Linked DNA regions of Astyanax mexicanus. The protein of the gene in region 2 interacts with the protein of the main gene of each other region in a pairwise test. Links are inferred from orthologs where the notes say so. Each region holds a gene or a part of one and is shown on either strand. Other genes may lie near its edges.

Region 1 (10,340 bases), on a different chromosome or scaffold from region 2:
GCCACCAAAGAGGGGGCGTGTTCTTTACTTCATGAACAGGAAAGGAGGAGGAGGAGGATGGGGGGGTGAAGGAGGCACAGCAGCAGCAGCAGCCATGCTCGTTCAAAACCCTCTGATCTGATCAGATCCAGCAGCTCCAGCTCACCACTAACATGCATTTAACACAATACGGGAAAATCTGCTTATTTATCCCGTTTATACTGGTTTAAACTGGTTTACACTGGTTTTGAGTGTGTGGTGAGCGTGCAGCAGCAGTGCTGAGCATGGCTGTGCTCCTGCTTCCTCTTCTCTTCATGGAAGGGGCGTGTCCTGAAGCCCACGCAGAACAATAGACAAGTCAACAACAGTGGCGCGTGCAAACCCCTCAGCACTGCTGCACACTTCAACCAGCGCTGTTGCAAACCCCGCGCAGCTAAACCTGCAATAATCACTCACGCACTGCACACGGTTTAAAGCCGTGCACGCATATCCGACAGTTTTGCAATAGTTGCAGAGCTCAAAAACTCTGAATAACACACAATTACTAAATATTGCATGATTTTCACATATTTCCAGTGCACAAATTATGTGCACATGTGCATGAACAGCACTAAAATGTTTCCAGTATAAATCTTTTTTTTTTTAAATAGTGAAAAATAGTTTTTAAAAAAAGGTGAAACTTACAGATTTAAAAAGAATAAAGGATGTATGGTGTGCATGCATGGCTTTAAAGCATTTAAAAACTTTTAGTTTCTAATCACCATCAGAAAGCCTGTGACTGTTTTAAGTAAGTTTATCCTTTCTCTTTTTATTTTAGTTTATTGTTCTTACTTTTTTATACTTATGATATACTATATTTATTATTATTCCTTTTATCATTTCTTATCACCCTTATCACTTTAACATCAACTTTTACTATTATTAATTTTTCTCGTTTTTAAGTTTATAAATTTACCTTTTGTGTGTTCATTTTTTATGGTCATTTTATTTCGATTTTCTGTTTTTTGTATATATTTTTTATATTTCTAATTTCTTATCTAATGTTTTAATCCCTTTTATACTGTAAATGCTAAACTGCACTGCTCAGTCTCCCTTAATGTATTATGAGTGAAAATAAAGGTTGATTGATTGATTTTCATTGCATGCTTTTAATATATTAATATTTAGCTTTAGTTAAAGAATTTGTCGCTTTGTTGGTACTTTATTATGGCTTTATAACATTTCCAGTACACTTTTTTGCATCAGTTTGTGCAAGAATCTTTTTAAGTGACAAAAAAAAAAAAATTAAATAAATAAATAATAAATTCCCTGCATGTGTGCATATAAAACCTGCAGATTTGCAAAATATAAGGATGTGTTGCCAGTGCTATGTTCGCATGAGTTACAGAAATGATGCTCTTTTGTTGGTTCGGAATTATTTGAACGACTAAAAGGCAAAGATTTAAAAATAAAATAAAATACCACAGGTGCATGCACAGCTTTAAAAAAAATCCAGCAAGCAAATCTAATTTTACTTGCATTACGCGTGCAACTGCGGCTTTAAAACATTTCCAGTCTACAAAAGATGGTAACAGCTCAACGTTGAATTCTTTTTTTTTTACATTACTTATAGTACGGATGCACTTTGTTGGTGCAGGGAATATTTTAAATAATGAAAAAGCTAAAGATATTGGCACATCTTGCACATGCATAGCTTAAAACATTTGAAGTGCACAAAAATGTGCATGCATTCATACATATGTGCAACAAGTGCACATATGTACAAACCAATTTCTGCATGCACATTGTACCACGAAACTAGCTACTGTATTAGTATTGGTGCACTTGTTGCGCATATGTATGAATGCATGCATACATGTGTGCAACAAGTGCACCAATACTCATATGAGTAGATAGTTATGTGGTACCTCACTGACTGTGCATAGATAAACTCTCAATTGGTGGCCAGTCAGCATCACTGCTGACTGAGTATTTAACTGACACAGTCTATATACAGGTATCTCTGTATATAAAGTAGCTAGAACAATAATAATAATAATAAAGCGATTTAAAGTGACTCACTCGTCTCCATCAGGACATATGCCCGTGGTTTCATCGTATTTGGTGCAGTACACGTCCGGGCTGTAGTTGAACGTCCCATCTCGCCTCCTGATGGGTCTCCGTCTCCGCTGGTTGAGGAAATGCCAGTGAAAGCAGGTAAAGGGTCTATGCTGCGTGCATTTGTGCTGCAGAAACAGCGGGCACTGCTCGGTCCTGAATTCCTTCAAATATCTGCCAATAGAGGAAACAGTCAGAGGGTTAAACTACACAACATCAAAACATGTATTGATATACAGTAGCTAGATAATTTATTTATCTACTTATCCATTTATTTTTATTTAGCTAGTAAGCTAAATATAAATTGTTTTATTTATTAAGCTATCTAGATGATTATCTATCTATTTATTTATTTAGCTAGCTAATATTCCATCTATTTATTAGGCTAGCTAATGGTCCATTTATTTAGCTAGCTAATAATACTTGGCCAGCTAATTATCCATATTTTATTTTCATTCAGCTAGCTAGCTACTTATCTAGCTACTTCTTTATTTATTTATTTAGCTAGCTAAATAAATAAATAAAGAAGTAGCTAGATAAGTAGCAAATTATCTATCTACTTACTTATTTGTTTTATTTAGTTATTTATTTAGTTATTTAGACACCTAGTGAATTACTTATCCATTTGTTTACTTATTTAGCTACCCAGCTAATTATCCATTTATTTATTTATTTATATTTATTTATATGCAACTCGTAAAATTCACAAACTGAAACAGTGACTAGTTCACTTTTTTAACTCGTTTAACTGGATACACAAACTCAAACTAGTCCAGACTATTTAACTAACATGAGCAGCTGAATAGAAAACAACATTTAAACCTGGACACTGGTATCAAAATCACAATCTTTCCAAGTATGTAGACATAGGTTATTATGGCCATGCAAAACTCCTTTAACTCAAAAATAGTGGCTTCTTGACTCGTTTAACTCATTTAACTAGATGCCTAACCTCAAACTAGTCCAGACTATGAGCAGATAAATACCAAAACAAATGCACACTGATTTAAAACGCTTTAAAATGTGCAGAAATAGGTTAGTTATGGAAATAAATTAAAAAACTCACACACAACAACTAGTTAACTCGTTTAACTAGAGACATAAACTCAGTCTAATCCAGACTATTCAAACAACTCAACATAAGCATGTGAATAACAAAATCTGGATCAATATCCTTTAGAATATGCAAAAATAGGTAGGTTATGGATACATAACTCAAACTAGTCTAGACTATGAGCAGCTGAACAAACGCATGCTGGCTTAAAACTCTATCCAATATGCAGAAATAGGTCAGTTATGGCAATAAATAACTCAAACAGGACAAGTTACCTCGTTTAACTAGCAGCTGAATAACAAAATCTGGATCAGAAATAGGTTAAGTTAGTTATGGCCATACACAAATAATAAAACTCAAACAGCAATTAGTTAACTAGTTTAACTAATTTAACTAGATGCATAAACTCAAACTAGTCCAGACTATGAATAGCTGAAAAACAAAACAAACGAACACTGGTTCAAAATCCTTCCAAATGTGCAGGAATAGGTCAGGTATGGCAATTAACAACTCATACAACTCATTTACAGCGACCAGTTAACTCATTTAACTCACTTAATTACATGCATAAACTCAAACAATCCCAGACTATGAGCACCTGAACAACCAAACAAACGCACGTTGGTTAAAAAAAAAATATGCAGAAGTAGGTTTGTTATGGTCATTATCAACTCAAACAACTAATAAATATCGAACAGTTAAGTCTTTTAACTCATTTAACTAGATGCATAACTCAAACTAGTCCAGACTATGAATAGCTGAAAAACAAAACAAACGAACACTGGTTCAAAATCCTTCCAAATGTGCAGGAATAGGTCAGGTATGGCAATTAACAACTCATACAACTCATTTACAGCGACCAGTTAACTCATTTAACTCACTTAATTACATGCATAAACTCAAACAATCCCAGACTATGAGCACCTGAACAACCAAACAAACGCACGTTGGTTAAAAAAAAAATATGCAGAAGTAGGTTTGTTATGGTCATTATCAACTCAAACAACTAATAAATATCGAACAGTTAAGTCTTTTAACTCATTTAACTAGATGCATAACTCAAACTCGTCGAGTCTATAAGCAGCTGAATAACAAAACAAACGCACGCTGGTTGAAACCCCTTCAAAGGTGCAGAAATAACTCACAACTCACACAACTAAAACAACTTAAAAACAGCAACTAGTTAACTCGTTTAACTCATTTAACTAGAGACATAAACTCAGACCTGTCCAAACTATTTGAACAACAACACAAGCAGCTGAATAACAAAATCACGACCACAATCCTTCATAATATGCAGAAACATGTTAGTTATGGCTAAACAACTTATAAAACTCATAAACAGCGAGCAGTTAACTCGTTTAACTCATTTAACTGGATTTAAGTAGCAAAATTAACTCAGAATAGCCCACGCTCTCCAAACAACTCAACACGAGCAGCTGAATAACAAAACAAACTGTAGCTCCAGCTTACGCCAAGCGCCGCGATTACCGACAGCACTTACGCACGATCTCCGACGCCTACCCTACTCAGCCAACCGGGCGCTACGCTACGCAAGCAGCGTAGTGGCAGCTATTCAGGCCGAGGCGGAGGAAGGAGGGCTGGCTGCCGCCTGGCGCTCTGTGTCTCTGCGTGTCTTCTGCAGCCTGAACAGTGAGCCCGGGTCTCCGCGGCCAGGCTCAGGCTTTAACCCGCAGCTCGCAGCGCGTTTCAGGCTTTAAATCAGCAGATAAACCCGCGGTTAAAGGCGGAGAGCCCGTGTTTAATAACACGGCGCGCTGTTTTCCCTCCCCGCGGCGGAGCTGCGTGTACTGGAGGAATCTCCTAAAGCCCCATGTTTAACAGCGCTGAGGAGCGGATAAACCCCGCGCTCACAGCCCCTCCGCACGGCCGGGGGATCTGCACAAGCCCCCCGGCCCCGGAACCCCATTCCCGCCCAGGCAGCCCCGCGGTACTCACGTATAGTGGGTCGGTTTCTCGGTTTGTGGAGAAGCGCTCGCCGCCGTTTTCGAAACCGACGGCATTTTCAGTCAAAACAATAAACGCGCATGCGCACAGGCCCGCTCTCGCGCGCCGCTGACTGGCCAATATCAGCAAGTGGCGGGACTCACGAATAAACACCAGCAGCAGCGTGGAGCACTAACACTTATACACACTCACTTATACTAGTGCATCTCAAAAAAGTTGAACATCATTCAAAAGTTACTTTATTTCACTAATTTAATTCAAAATGTGAATATTTACGTAACATGACCAGTGTGCCAAGTCCTGCTGGAAAACGAAATTCGCATCTCCATGTCAGTAGCAGAGGGAAGCATGAAGTGCTGTAAGATTTTGTGGGAAAACAAAACTGCACTGACTTTAGACTTGATAATAAAACACAGTGGATCAACACCAGCAGATGACATGTCTCTCCAAACCATCACTGATCATCAGTAAATTTTACTGGAATTTAATTTGGAAAAAATCAAGGGAGCAGAGTCTGGAGGAAGAGAGGAGAGGCAGTTTTCCACAAGTTTCCACAGTCAGTGATGGTTTGGAAAGCCATGTCATCAGCTGGTGTTGGTCCACCGTGTTTTATTATCAAGTTCGTCCCAAGTCAGTGCAGTGACAACTTTTATGGAGATGCAGAGATTAGGAGATTTTCTTTTCCAGCAGGACTTGGCACACTCCCACTCCCTAATTGGTCTTATATAATATTCAAATTTCTTAGACACTGATTTTTGCATTTTCATTGGCTGTAAGCCATCATCATCAACAATAAAACAAATAACTGCTTAAAATAGATCACTCTGTGTGTGTAATACATCTATATAATATACGAGTTTTACATTTTGAACTGAATTACTGAAATAAAGCAGCTTTTCAAGGATATTTATATACCCATTTATATACCCACATAGCAAAAGTATGTTTTTCTTTAGTAAAAAAGCCACATTATTTTTCCCCAAGTCATTTTTATGTCTTTGTTTAATTTATTAATATATTCTCCACATTGTAGATTGATGTTACAAACATGGAGTAATGTAACAATAAACGACAAACCTCCTATTAATTGCTGACAGTAGGCAACCAGCCACACACAAATAAAAATGGAAAAAATGTGGAAGTTGTAAACCTCTTGACCAGTAGTGTGTATATACATATATGCAAATACACATTACATATATACATATATTTCCCTATTTTTTGTCATTTAAGCTCATTAGGTACAGTTATGAAATGGTACAAAATACAGTGTACAACATTTGTCACTAAACTGGGCTTTTAGGGAAAACAATGAGCTAAAACTGAAGGAAACATTTTTACTAATACATGTATATATATATATATATATATATATATATATATATATATATATATATATGAAACAATAACAGACACATATATACCACAGGTAATTATGTGTAAATATATATTTACTAATATATGTATATATATATATATATATATATATATATATATATATATATATATATACATATATTAGTAAATATATATTTACACATAATTACCTGTGGTATATATGTGTCTGTTATTGTTTCAATGTTTCAACATTATGTTGATATAACAATGTTTTAACGTTGAATCAACATAATTACCATACAATTTCATAAATCGATTGGATGGGGGAATGAAAAGGTGTTTTACTTCTATTTGCAGTTACTGCTTTTTAATTTAACACCATGTTCATGTTTTACTGTTGTAGTGTTTCTGAGATCAGATGTTCAGTAATCAGACTGGTAGTGGTGGGTATAAATTTCTTTATAGTCAGTTTATTGTTAACACTCTACTTTTTGCTTCTTCTAGTAGTAATAAAAGCTTTTTGTTTGTAACTGCTACAGGAAGACGTCTGGCTGACCCACATGGAAACAGCTTTAGCCTTTAGCTTAGATTAACATGATTGGACTAAGTCTGAGTGTTAGCAGGGAAGAGAAGAATTAAATGTCTGACAGGTGAATAACGGCAATAATATGGACACACCTTCTTTATTTGTTTATTCACTTTATTTATTTTCTACATTAAGGGACATATATGGTATTATGTAGTAAACAGTAAAAAAGTGTTATTCCACCACATTAATCCCCTGATCTAAACCTGATGAACTGAGATGGTGATTTGAGATGATTAATTGGGATGAGCTGGAGCTTCACAGCATGAAGGAAAAGCAGCAACTATTGTTCAGCACCTCCAGAAACTCCTTCCTTCAAGACGCTGAGAAAACTATTCCAGGTGACTCTAAATCATGAAGACACTGAGATTAAAATCTCACCAAGAGTCTGCAGATCTGTCCTCAAAGAATAATGTTAGAAGAATCTAAAATATAAAACATTTTCTGGTTTATTATTGAAAATAATTCAGCATGTGTTCCTGTAGAGTTTTAATATAGTCTTTAATATTAAATTTACAATGTAAAAAATCATAAAAAGAAAGAAAACACATTGAATGAGAAGAGGTTTGTCCAAACTATCATGTATTCCGATCTTCGGGGTTTGTGTTTTTGCTTTCCCTCATTTGTATTTCAATGCATGTGTATTGCAAACCTATCAAAATGATAATGTGATAATAATGCCCCTATTTGCCTCAAGTAGGTGTAAGAAAATAAGAGTAGAACAGCAATCAATATGCAAAACACGTGTGAATGTGTGTGCACTGTTTAAAAAAAAGTAAATGGACTATCTACTGAACAGCCCTATTGAAATCCAACATTCCAGCCAAAGTTCTGTAAATTGCTTAAAAACACTTGATTAACACAGCTCAGAACAAAAATAAGAGAGCACTTAAAAATGATGAGTTTCTTTGATTTACCAAATTAAAAACCTCTGGAATATAATCAAGAGGAAGATGGATGATCACAAGCCATCAAACCACCAAACTGAACTGCTTGAATTTTTGCACCAGGAGTAAAGCAGCATAAAAGTATCCAAAAGCAGTGTGTAAGACTGGTGGAGGAGAACATGATGCCAAGATGCATAAAAACAAAAACTGTGATTAAAAAGCACCAGGGTTATTCCACTAAATATTGATTTCTGAACTCTTAAAACTTTATGAATATGAACTTGTTTTCTTTGCATTATTTGAGGTCTGAAAGCTCTGCAAATAAATGCTCTAAATGACTTAAATATTTGTTGTCTGTTGTCTGTAGTTTATAGAATAAAACAACAATGTTCATTTTACTCAAACATAAACCTATAAATAGCAAAATCAGAGAATTTAATTAATCAAAATTATAATGAATCTGGGTAGTAAGTGTTAATTTACTTAGATAAACAGTAATATTAAAAAATACAAATACAATGAACAAAAAGTATTGATTTTACACTTCATTAAAATAAATCCCATAATGGAGTCAAGTATTGTCTATAGTTCAGATCATATCAGCAGCTGGTTTGGTAAAACAGAGCTTAATGAGGGTAAATTAGGTGTGCTGCTGATGGAATTGAACACACAATTTTAAACACAAATATTTTTAGTAACATCAGATTAAAAAATAGCATAACAGCTGCCATGAAATGCAAAATTGTGTAAATATCTGAAATTGTTGGAGTTGTACGTCTCAATTTGGACCTTTTTACTAGTAAAATACAATGTGTAGATAATGATATGAAATTTCATTCCCAGAGCTTCTGATTTCTGCCATTTCTACAGATTTTTCCAAACAATATGTTTGCTTTGGATATTTTTTCATCCACAATTTTTAATGAACTTTACATTTATAGTCCCTTCCAAAGTATTGGAACAGTGAGGTTAATTTAATTATTTCTGCTGTAGACTGAAAATATTTCAATTTGACATTAAAAAAGATTAACAAAAAAAAAACCTTTTAGTTTTTATCTTTATTGGCCATGGCTTGTAACAACTGTTTGGAATGACTTGAAGAAGAAAGTCATCACTGGTGTACTAAATAACAGATACCAAACAGGTAGACCAAGTGAAACTGTGTACTTTTTTTGTTCCTGGCTGTTTATTAAGGTGCTATCCTACTAGAATAAAAACTGAAATGTTGATCTCTTGTCTTATATCCATCTTTTAATGTCAAATTCAAATGTTTTCAGTCCACAGCAGAAATAAAGGGATTGGCCTCACTGTTCTAATAGTTCTGGGAAGGGACTTTATATTTCTCTCTTTCTCTCTGTAATCAATTTATTTCTTAGATAGCTCATACAGTTAACCACCTCTCAATATAAATCTGACTCTAATCTCTGTCAAGTCAAGTCAAATAGTTTTATTGTCAAAACTGCATATGTACAGGACATACAGAGAATTACAATTACGTTACCCCCCTTCCCAAAAATTAGTACAGAAGTACAGAAAATAAGATTATAAATATAAAAAGAATGGAGGACACTATATGCACAATACAACAGGGACACAGATAGACATACGTGAGACAGAAGACAATAGTGCAATAGTGATGGGGGTGATTAAAGTTTACAGTTTCTCATTTTTTCTCTTTACAGTGTTAGTAGCAAGGGTTACATTACTTTATTATTGTCTCACTTTAACCCTTGTGTGGTGTTCATATTTTTGTTACTCGTTTACTTTGTTTCTTGTATTTAATTCAGCAAAATTAAGCAATTCTACATTAAAATGCTTTACACATGCTCGCTTCACCTAAATTGCAAGCAATATAAACAGCTTACATGGTTAATATTTGCCCTTTACCTTTCTTATGTTACATTTCTTTTAAAAAGTGCTACTCTTTTTTTATTAGTTTTTTAATAAAATGTAAAAGAACATGAATTAAACTCAAGATATGAGTAGAAAATTTGTTTAGTTTCAAATTTACAAATGAAGCAAAGTTTATTAGCCCTTGGCCAAACATACTGTATGTAATATAAATGTGTGTGTGGGGGGGGGGGGGTGTACAGTGTGTGTTTATGGAAAATGTGTTTTGATATATGTTTTTCACCAAAAATTAGACAATGCCAATGAGTTTGAGTTAGAAAAAATATTTTTTTAGTATCATTTGATGAAAAATGAAAACGGGACCCACAGACCCGAACACCACACAAGGGTTAACAAGTCACACTGTGCTTTAACAAAACTCTGGAAGTCGTTGCAGAGTTAACACTGCAAACTGTAATTGCTGCACACTGATGTTTATAGATGACGATGAAGTCCCACTTTTGTAGCGTCTTTCTAAACACCTAATCACTGCTTTGCAACACAGACATCTACACAGTAATTTACACTCAGCAGTCAACCA
Region 2 (11,024 bases):
AGCTCCATTAAAAATCCACTCCGATATTTGCCTTTGGGAAGGCGCAAAAAAGGGGCAAAAAAGTCGACAAGAGCTCCTCGCTCCTCCCAGCCCTCCTTTATCCTGCTATTTTCCCGTTTCACATAAAACAGGGCGATTTAAAGGCCGTGCATTTTACATTTACACGTTTACACCTGCGATCACGCTCTGTCCGTGTAGTTCGCCGCACAAAACGCGTAGGGGTGGCATTGCCCAAATGCAAAAAAAGAAAAAAATATAATAATAAATAATTAAAATAATACTAAAAGTCCCATTAAAACGGGGGAGAAATGTGCTGTAGGTTTTGTTGTGCGTGGAAGAGGAAGCAACAAGGATGAGCTTTACATCCTCTCCTGGTGATGAGGAGGGTGATGATGATGATGATGATGATGCATGCCAGGGAGGAAGAAAAAAAGAGGAGGATGATGATGATGAAGAAGAAGAAGGAGGAAAATAGCTAGAAAGCTAGCTCCGGCCCCCGCGGTGGATCCCAGCCTGGCTGACCGGCCTCGGAACGCTGCCCCCCGGCTGCAGGCGTGCTCCCTCTCCCGGCGGTGCCTCACCAACGCGCGGCTCACTCGCTCCGCTTCTCACATGCAGCATTCCCCGCGGCTCCCCGAGCGAATAATAAAGTGGCACACACCAGTCCGAACATACGAATGAAAGCTGCCAGCCGTCGGTGTGTGTGTAAGTGAGTGTGAATGTGTGTGTGTGTGTGTGTGTGTGTGTGTGTGGGCCTACAGCGGGGTTAGGGCATGTGGAGCGGTTGCCATGTTCTCCGCATTCAGTCCCGCTATGGGGAGGAGGGAATAATAATAATAATAAAAAGCGAAGCGCAGAACTGCACCCCCTGCTGGTTACCTTTAACAACTTCAACTGTTCCGCCATAGGGACATTTTGTATCACGTTTTAATGTCGATATAAGCTCGTGTTTTTGCCATGCCGTCGTTTAACAACATTGGACGCGCTTAAGCTACGATAACAGTACGATACCAAGACGTTTTACAATGCCGTTTTAACGGGACAGATTGAAATGTAAAAAACTACAAACCCCAGCGTACATGTCGTTGCGGATTGGTGGGATGGGCGTGCATGACGCCATCACGAGACAGAATTTGTAGTTCGATTTAACTGAACGGCCTGTTAACCCGTTCAGACCTAAATTGGCTCCAGTGGTGGAAAGAAATGTAAGAATGCTATTTCTGTCTGTAATGCACAGAAAAGAAGACTCTAAAATTTTACTATGAAATTTATACAGCAAATAAATCCAGTGAACTAAAATATTTAATCAGTTTATTTTTTATTTCCATTGCATTGTAGGCCTTTGTTAATATTTTGTTTCATATTGACCTTGTATGTAATAAACCACTCCTAAACAGTAAAAAAAAAGTTTAAAAAAATAAAAAATAGCGTAATTAAAGAAAAACTTAACTGTTACTTTGCCTCAATGGCTCTAGTTTTACATTTTTTTTCCAGTGCAGTGGGCGGGGCCAAGTTACTGTTTCATTGGTTTATAAACTTGTTCATTGGCTGGTTCATGGTCTATTCTAATGAACAACAGCTCTCAAATAGTTGTGTGTGCAACAAAACATTTAGAAATAAAGAAAATACATGATGTCTGTTGTAATGGATGCAGGGCCTGAAATGGTTAAGAAATGTTGAGTACTACAACACTGAATTAATAAACACCACAATAGAAAGTAATTGTTTAAAACAGTTGCTTTTAATATTTTAAATAGAAACGTAAAATATATTTAATTGTAGCCAAATAATTTATTGTAGCCAAATAAAATAAACAGAGCAATTTGTTATATTAAAATTGAGAGATTATAATGTAAGAATGTGTTTAGCTATGTGTCAATTTAAATTTGGACTATTGACACAGTCAAGCTGCCAAGTAGTGTTAATTTATATTTAGCATCACTGTTTCCTTTACTGGCACAGGCTGCATCTTGTTTTTTCTTGTTTGTAGCAGCCTGGTAGCATTTATTTTGTTTTTAAATTCACAGTATATATTTTTTGCACCACTAGTAGCTTTGCTATTAGTTTGCCACGTTCTCCCCTTCACTGTTCTAAATGTTGCACCTTACTATTAGGTCTGATACAGCTTTTTATTTTAATAGCTTTAGCATTACTTATTTTAAAAGAAAATCTCTCAGACTTTGGGACCCCAAAACCTGCATGCCCTCTGTAAAATTAAAACACCATGTGCTACAAAAATCACACACACAACTCTTCAGGTAGAAAGTTGCTGCTTTCACTGCCATAACACAGTATTTCATTTTACTGAACACCACAAGTAGATGCTGGTGGTAGCACTTCCAGAGAACATTTTAAGACCGTGTTGTTTATCACTATGTATCCTTAACAGTCCCAAAGTCTGTTTTGGTTTTGTTTAGGTGTATCTGCATAATGTATTTGTGATGGGGCATTTAAAGCCAGTAAACTAGTTTGATACGATTTCATTCACCACCACTGTGAACAAGATTAAGTTTGGTACATTTCTCTAAAACATAACTTGTTTTCAGTATTTGGCGACACCATAAGGCAAATGAGGGAATTACACAGACACTGCAAGCTAGCAAGTAACGCTGGAGAAGTACTTGAAAAGTCACAACATAAGTGTGGAATTGAATGCTTCTCTTAAAATATTCTCAACCCAACATCATACAATTATAGAAAAGGTTAGTTTTATATATTTTGTTTTCATGTAAACTGGCTCCCCTTAAGGTAAGTAAAGAACTGGAAAGGTGGTTAATAAAATGCAATCAGGCAAGAACAGACTGCATTTCACAAATCATTTGTCGCACAAAGGAAACCACTCAATATTATTCAGTACAAAATAGGTTTAATAGAACAAAAATATCTTCAGTGCTGTTTAGCGTGATTTAACATAGCATACCAACATAAACGCCACCATAACATCACCTCAACGACACAAACACTGAGTTTAAGGTTCCATTATTCTTCTCTACAAAGTTCAAAATAAAAGCCAGCAGGCCAAGTGCTTCCGTTTGGTCCATCTTCAGTTTCAATACGGCACCATCGGCCGTAAAGGAAAAGATGGTAATGGTCACGCAGAGCATGACTTACATAAAAACAAAAACGGTCATGATCACAGTCTTCTGTGATGCATTCATTGAAGGTCACGTGTGTAATACTCACTAAAACTGAAAACAAAACAAGCAAAAAAAATTAACCTAAAGGCGTCTCAGAAATCATCCAATGTGTCTGCTTTAGGGATGGACAAGCCTCGCTCCTTTACTGCCTGTAGTTTCCGCTTCTCAGACTCCTGCTTTGCCTGCTGCTCCACCCGCTGCTCCTCCAGAATTTCCTCAATGGAAACTCTCTGAAGGATCTGATCACATTCTTTATCTAGGTCCTACAGAGCAGACAATAAACAAATCCAAACAGGAGAGTGTAGGTTAAATTCCAATAAAACATGCTTCTTAAATTCCCCTCATTCATAACACATCTCAGCTCTCCTCCTTACCCGTCCAATAAAATAGTATTATTCTACATCATGTTTATTGCACCCAGATCATAGTTGTGGGGAAAAAAAAAAAAAAAAAAGTGCGCACAATGCAGCCACACTGATTTGGTCAGTCCACCGTATTAAAAGGTTAAAGGTAAGCTCAACCCCTGGTACCAAAATAATTCCCAAATTTCCCACAGCAGGGTGTTAATATTTAACATTAACAAGTTTCTCTTATTTACCTTTTACATTTTAAATTTCCATTGAGTCCATGACTAGAATTAATCCTTGGCCAGGTATTTGGCCCTTAATGCAGGTACTGTGTTACACACCAAGGTACTATTCACACTATAGCCCTTCATTAGGTTGACTGATATTTCCCCAGCATTCTCTAAAGCCTGTCAATCCTAGCAACAACAAACAAGGCTTATGTTTAATACCATGACTCATTTTGCTTAATCTTATTTTAATGGAAACATTTCCAGAAAGAAAAATAAACAAAAACTGTGTAAACTTACTACTTCTCCAAGTAAGACAACATTTTCTCCTCTGACAACAAAGATCCCTCGGGGTATGTCTCCAAACTTCTTACCAACGTGGATACGTTCCACTGTTTGATGCAAAACTAAATTTGCTGTTAAAGAGAACAGAGATCAAATATTAACAACCTGTTAATGAATAACATACAACTGACAAGGATGGGCAGAACAATACTGATGCAAATAAACTTCAAATACTGACCGTGCTGCTAATGCAGTGAGATCATTTGTTATTCGGTAGTTAGCACCATGGCTTTATATTCTATGCACCCTCAAGCAGTTTTAAAATAGATGTACCATATAATATAGATCAGTGCATCCATGCTAAAGGCAGGTTACCACTTCATTGTGAAAGGGCATCGAATAAAAGTGAAGCATGGAACAACTTAAACGATGTCCAACTACTGCCAAGCACACCTAACGCCTCTTAATCCAACTCTGAGGAACTTTAGTAAGCTCATTTTAATGGGTGTCAGTTCAGTGGGAAACACTGGTGTACATATAAATATATTATACTGATCATACTGAGTGGTTCACTTGGATCTGTTATTTTACTTCACTGAACACTGGATCTACTTACCAAACTGATCTATACTTCTGAGGATCCCAATCAGTGTTCTCCCATCTCTGAGCAGAACAAGGTGCTTTTCTGGAAGAAAAACAAAAACAGATCAGACAGACAGAAAGCTTATTTGCTTAAAAGACATTTATACAGTTTCATGCAACAACAAAACTGGCAAAATAAGTCACACAAAACAGCCTTCCTTGGATTTGTTATGTCATCCTAAGAATTCATAAAGAGCTAGTTCAATGTTCGCCAGCTCCAGCTGTGTTATATTTAACTTTTAGCATTTTAGCAAGTCTATAAAGGTTTAATTTGCAAGTACTTAAGTGGTTGTAGTTGTTAGCGATCTAGCTAGCTATCTAATGGCCCAAACCCTGAAGACCACCTCCAGGTTCATCTTGGGAGGAATGAGGTGTAGAGAAAAAAAATACAATATGTATAAATTGTACACAGTTCGTGGTCAGAAACGCAAGATTAAACACACTTAGATTATCTTTAGCAGTAAGAAAGTTTAAGATAGCTAATTGCTTTAAATTTCCACTCCACCTTAAATAGGGCAGCAGGTACATTACTGTGCTAGCTGGACTCAGAATATAATCACTGCACCATTTAAGGTGGACCGAACAATTCCAATTACAACGCAGCTATTTGGAGTTCCAGCGGCTTTAGGCTGGGTAGTAAAGCCCAGCGGAGCTTTTAACTTACTGTCGATGTCCTCAATGAGGCTGGCGGTGCCTGGCATGTAATTCATCCTGCAGACATGCGGGGAGTTTAAAGCACAAAAAACCTAGAGACAGTGTGATATCAAACCTCCTGGCACCCAAACTAACTACAGCAGCAGCGCTCTTATAGCACAGCTTCCGGGGCACGCTCACCCCTTTAAAGGGCCCACTCGCATTTTATAAAACAAATCTTTTTACAAAAGATATGTTTTATATTCGTTTTTGAGATTTTTTTTGCAGTTTTATTTATATGTAATGTTAATTTAAACGCACCATGCATTTTTTTTTATCATTTATCTATAAGCTTAATAATTATTTTAATTATTATGCTTTTATTTTGTAGTGCTTTCTTCCCACGTATTTATTTATTAGAGATTTTATCTGTTATTTCCTTTGTAACTGTTATTTATTTATTTATTTATGTTCATTTACTATGTTTGTGATCTATTTCTGTTTAATCCTTTAGCTGTATTTTACATTTTGCTTCACTCCAACTGATTTGGAAGCTACCGTCTCAAGAACAAGGTTGTCAAAATACAGTAACTTTAACAATTAAATGTTGAATCAGAGCTTATGACAGAAATTATAGTTACAGATAAAAAATAAACAAACTAATTTTGATTTTACAAAATCATAATCATACATAAAATAAGATATCGTTTACTTTATAATATAGAACTCTCTAAAAAAAAAGAGTATCAATATATTTTGTATTTCAAATTTATAAATACATTTTGTACCCCTGACAAGGCACAGAAACATCTTAACATCTAAACATATCTCGAAATATCACGGAATAACAAATATATAATTTTAAGTATGTCATTTATCCTTGGGATTTGTATTATTTATGCAGAAAATATATTTTACAATATTTTATCCAATTAATTTTTTCAAAAGCAAAGAGTTATATTATATTTTTAATGCTTCGATTCGATTGATTAAAATACATATAAAGCAACGTACATTGTAACCCAGCTTGTGATTGGCTAGCTCGTTTTTGTGCACATTGTGATTGGCTAGATATTCCTGTCCCTATTTGTGATTGGCTGCTTGCTTTTTTCTGTGACAGTCAGCAGCACTTTGCTGTTATGCGTGAATATGTTTAATTAATTGAACTGTAGAGCTAAAGAAGGATATCAGTAACGCGCTTTTACAATAATTTTTGCCATAAAAAATATATATATGAATACGTTATAAGATTTAAATAAATATTTAATTGCTCAGGTCAGGCTACAGCACCGCGCAGATTCAGTCACACTGCAGCTACACCCGACACGATGGCGAGAATGATGGGTTAATGAATTAGTAATAATAAAAATAATCATATTAATACCAATAACGTGCTGTTAGCAGTGGATGGCCTACGACTCAGCCGGAGCGGAGAGAAGCGGGGAGGCGGCGTGGCTACTGCAACAGCAGCGGCACATGCAGCAGCCGAAAGCGGGCTGGAGCCCCGGGTACAACCCGGAGAGCAGCTGGAGCGGAGCGATGGTAAGAACCGGGGCTAGGCTAGGCTAAGCTAAGCTAAGCTAAACTACGCTAAGCTAAGCTGTGTTTGACACCAGTGTATCATTCATACAGAAGCAGCTTAACGTTTTATTTACATTTAATACAAATGCATCTTAATAATACACGGTTTTAATTCACTTTGTGTAAAAGTTTACGCAGCTGACTTTGAGCAAACTGTGCCGTCCTATTCAATTAGCTTTAGCATAGCATCTCTTACCAGCTATTGCCAGCACTTCAGTTACTAACCTTCACTTAAACTGTAGTAGCGTTGACATGTTAACCTAGTGTGTTTTCTATGTAGTTAGCTAGCTCACATAAATATACAACCCTGATTTACTTTGCAGAGAGATGTTCGTTTTATTGCCTAAGTTTGTAGTTTAGTTGAATAAGTTATCAGACCGGCCATTGCTGGCTTTGGTCAGCAAGTTGGTTATCTAGAGAAACAGGACTTATTGCGTAAAATTAGGTGGCCTTTATACAAGCAGTTAGCTATAGCTAGGTTTGCTAGTGTGTTTGGGTTGTTAATAAAAGTTGGATATCCTAAATTATCCCATTTTCTGCATAGCAGCGATATAATACTGTCAGAATTTACCAAATGTATCCCTACACTACTGGTAAAGTTGTAACCTAAGTGCACCTTATCTTCAGTGTTGGAGAACCAAAGCTTCCTGAGTGCTTCTGTTCTGTACTGAAATAATGCCTTTCAGATCTGATACCTATTTTTATTTCTATACAGTTAGCATAAAGAAACCTTTACTATGTCGGCTTCGTTGTTTTTTAATTGATTAAAACAGTCACACTTAAAATAAATTTCAATTCTTTACAGCAAATGTTGTCATAGAGCAGCTCTGCAGAGATCTGGGTCCAAAAGTGACTGCAGAATGAGTGGTCAAATAGTACTTTATTATTTCAATTTGTGCTTATTGTAAAAACAGGTCATGTATTATAAAAATCTGAGTAACTGCAGAACACATGCTAAATATTAGTACTGATGAAAGTGGTGTCCATAAGTCCTTAAAGGCTGAACAGTCCCATGCTGTCATGCAGAATCATCCTGCTGTGAAAGAATAATAGCCAGGGTTTAAAAGCAAAAAACAGGGAAAAGAGATAGCAGGAACAAAAATAACATCATAACAAACAAAGGAAAATTCGCAGAATATGGGAAATTGCCATGCAAGTAGTGGCATCAGCCTTAATGATGTACCAACATTGAGGAGAAAACAAGAGGCAGCTTATAATATGGGCTAGAGAAGGATAAACATATGTACAGTTAATGTAAAAGTAATGTTACAAAATAATTTGTATTATTTCTTCAATTCAGCCATATGGTGAACCACTAATATAGTGGTGACAACTACTATAGGACTAACATCATGTAATTTCTGCTTTACGGCAGGACTCTAATCCATATTGTGGCTATCCACCAAACTACTGGTACCCTCATTCGCATACTGCTGGACCGTATAGTAACACATACCCCTCTGGAGCAGAGGTCAATGGACAAGCACCGTACAATCCCCAGGTACAGTACCACATCTTCCTTCTTGTCTTAACACAGTGCTTAAAGTTTTTTTGCAGATTCACACTGGATAAAAAAAAATACACTGACTAATGCACTGATTAATACTGACATAAAATCATGCTACAATTATTGCCTTCATACTGTTAAAATTACACAGACTGCAGATTCATAGTAGATTAATTGTATTAGAGTAATACTAATTATATTAGAGTATTAAAGGTGTTTGGTATATATACTTTTTATGAAAATCAAACTGCTGTGCCTTTATTTCAGGCAATGTCAGGCTATCCCAATGGGGTGTACAATCCAGGACAGTACTCAGCCAATATGATGCACCCATCCAATCCGTTCTACTGCAGTGAGCAGATTCCTCCACGGCAACCACCTCAGTATCATAATCAGGGCTGCGCTGATCGGCCCGCGGGGAATTCTACTCAGCCTCCCTATGCTGTACCGCATTGCCAAGGGGTAGGTGATGATCCACTATTTAACCTTTTATGTTTGCTCATGTTTTTAGTGGTATCATTCGTTATATCGTATAGTAAAGGTCACAGCTTTTGATATGACTGGCCAGCTAAACACATACGTTTTTAAGGTTTAATAGTACAGCCTCTGTTCTTGTTCACTGTTCTTGCAGGGTCCTGGATATCCCCCTAATTCGTACCCACACTATGGAGATGGATGCCCCTCCAACCCTGGGTATCCCACCCAGCAGGCCATGCACTCAAGGCCCCAGCCTGAAGCCTGGCCCCATTCAGGCGGATATGGGCCAACACAGCCTCAACAGCAGTGGCAGCCTGGCACCCAGCCAGCTCACGGGCCATACGCTAACCATGCTAACCACGTCCGACCTCCACATCCTCCACCCTGGCAGGGGCCTGCGCCACCTCCATATGAACATAAGGTATCCAAGCTGTCTGTACATTAACTCGTCATTTTATAGCATTGATGGTCAGCAAAGAGTGGGTTTAGGTTCAGTTCTGGTCTGTGTGTCAAACTGACTAAAATCAGGCTCACAAATGTGAATTTTCTGAACCACAGAATGGAACTGTAGTATTGGAATGTATGTTTACTTGTGTGTTTGTGTCTCTGGTGCTTTTTTGTGAGCAACCATGATTTTTATGTTTAGCTTCTATTCTTGTTGCTTTACAGTAGTATCTTTAGGCTAGTTTGTTTCAAAGCTGTTTTGTTGTTTTGTATAGTAGGTGGTTGCTAAGGTGATGCTCAGTAGTTGTTTCGAAGGGTGGAGTTATGGCATCACAGATTGCTTCCAAGGGTGTTGCTACCATTTTTTTTACTGCTGTATGAAATAAGATGAACAAAGATTTTAATCTTGTTGCATGCACTGTGTTGTTTACCTTAGTTTTTTACAGATGTTATATGTTTTATTGATATGTTGTTTTATTTAATCAGGGAAAGGATAAAACACAAATGATTTGTCACCTCTATTTCTATTTTTCTGTTTTTGGTCAGACTGAGGGTTTCTAGAAATGATAAAGTGATGAATGTTGTGTTTCGAAATATCATCTTCATTAAAAGGAGGAAGAGTATAACTTTGCTAAACAGGGTTAAATAACTATTGAACATGTTACTGCTTCGGTTACCAAATATAGGTGCAAGCAGTGGTCACTTAAAACTGTTTTAAGTCAGAAAAATATAGTCAATTCATAAATAAAGGTACAATCATCACTTCAATACGTGTATCACCACAGTTAGGCCTAATTGCATGCTTTCCTCAAGACCATAAACTCCAACACACATGTTCTACACATCTAAACGTGTGGGCTAGCCAAAGATATCTTAGGTCAGATGAGGTGCTGTACTCAAGCAGAGAGTTCAGTACACAGTCTTTCAAGCCTTTCAAGTCCTTCTGTTTCTCTCTCACACACACACACGCGCACACACACAGGAATAGCTTAAAGGAACTCCAGCTTAAAGAAAGCACAGTCCATCTGACCCTCAGTGACACTGTAGTGTCCTAAAGCTGGTTATGTAATAGAACTCAGCTCTCCTATTGTAAAGCTTTACACTCTGATACTTAAAAGAAAGTCAACTGCAAATCAGTAAAAGTTAATACAGTGAGGGAGGAAAATGCACAAAAATAACTTAAAATGGAGAGTTTCTTACTTTTACAATTATTTAATTGCAAACTATATTAACCAAAGAGATTCCATGTATTGTTTGCTCAACTCAGTTTGCTTTGTTAATATACATCTATCCCTGCATTTCAGGCCTGCCATACATTTCAAAAAAGTTCAAACAGGTGTCATCAAATATCAATGATCCTTTATTGAAACATAGGCACTCTAAACTCTTTAAGACTTCCCCCTCAATTTGACTTACAAAAGTTACTTCTTTATTACTCCACATGATGGCGCTAATGAAATGAATAGGGTAAACCTGCACTGAAGAATATTGGTTGTTAAATTCTTTAAAACTGGCACCAATAAATATATTATTACTGGTATTTTATCCTGTTCAGTAACACAGTTACAACTTATTGCATAATGAATTATTCAGAAATAGTATAGTAGTATAGTCACCTAAAATGCAAAGATAAATCACAGTACCACCCCTAAAAATAAAAATAAATGATATATTCATCTCTGCCCACGTTAATTACATTTATTCTTGTTCATATATTTAGTATTAAAAAGTCATTGATATTTAA

What was found.
Region 1: the proteins of bag4 (region 2) and unkl interact in binary tests that used the Homo sapiens proteins (3 or more experiments, as listed by UniProt). The link is inferred for Astyanax mexicanus from reciprocal best matches to the Homo sapiens genes BAG4 and UNKL.

The regions. Positions count from the first base shown.
Region 1 is NC_064410.1:59,946,120-59,956,459, reverse strand, and holds the start of unkl (putative E3 ubiquitin-protein ligase UNKL), read right to left. Parts: upstream 5,192-10,340; 5' UTR 5,155-5,191; coding exon 5,090-5,154; intron 2,251-5,089; coding exon 2,041-2,250; intron 1-2,040. UniProt on the Homo sapiens protein: May participate in a protein complex showing an E3 ligase activity regulated by RAC1. Ubiquitination is directed towards itself and possibly other substrates, such as SMARCD2/BAF60b. Intrinsic E3 ligase activity has not been proven.
Region 2 is NC_064419.1:32,064,817-32,075,840, forward strand, and holds the start of bag4 (BAG family molecular chaperone regulator 4), read left to right. Parts: upstream 1-6,312; 5' UTR 6,313-6,678; coding exon 6,679-6,813; intron 6,814-8,227; coding exon 8,228-8,353; intron 8,354-8,626; coding exon 8,627-8,821; intron 8,822-8,990; coding exon 8,991-9,257; intron 9,258-11,024. Other genes in the region: grk5l (G protein-coupled receptor kinase 5), read right to left, coding at 1-8; U6 snRNA-associated Sm-like protein LSm1, read right to left, coding at 3,230-3,400, 4,012-4,127, 4,613-4,681, 5,303-5,348. UniProt on the Homo sapiens protein: Inhibits the chaperone activity of HSP70/HSC70 by promoting substrate release. Prevents constitutive TNFRSF1A signaling. Negative regulator of PRKN translocation to damaged mitochondria.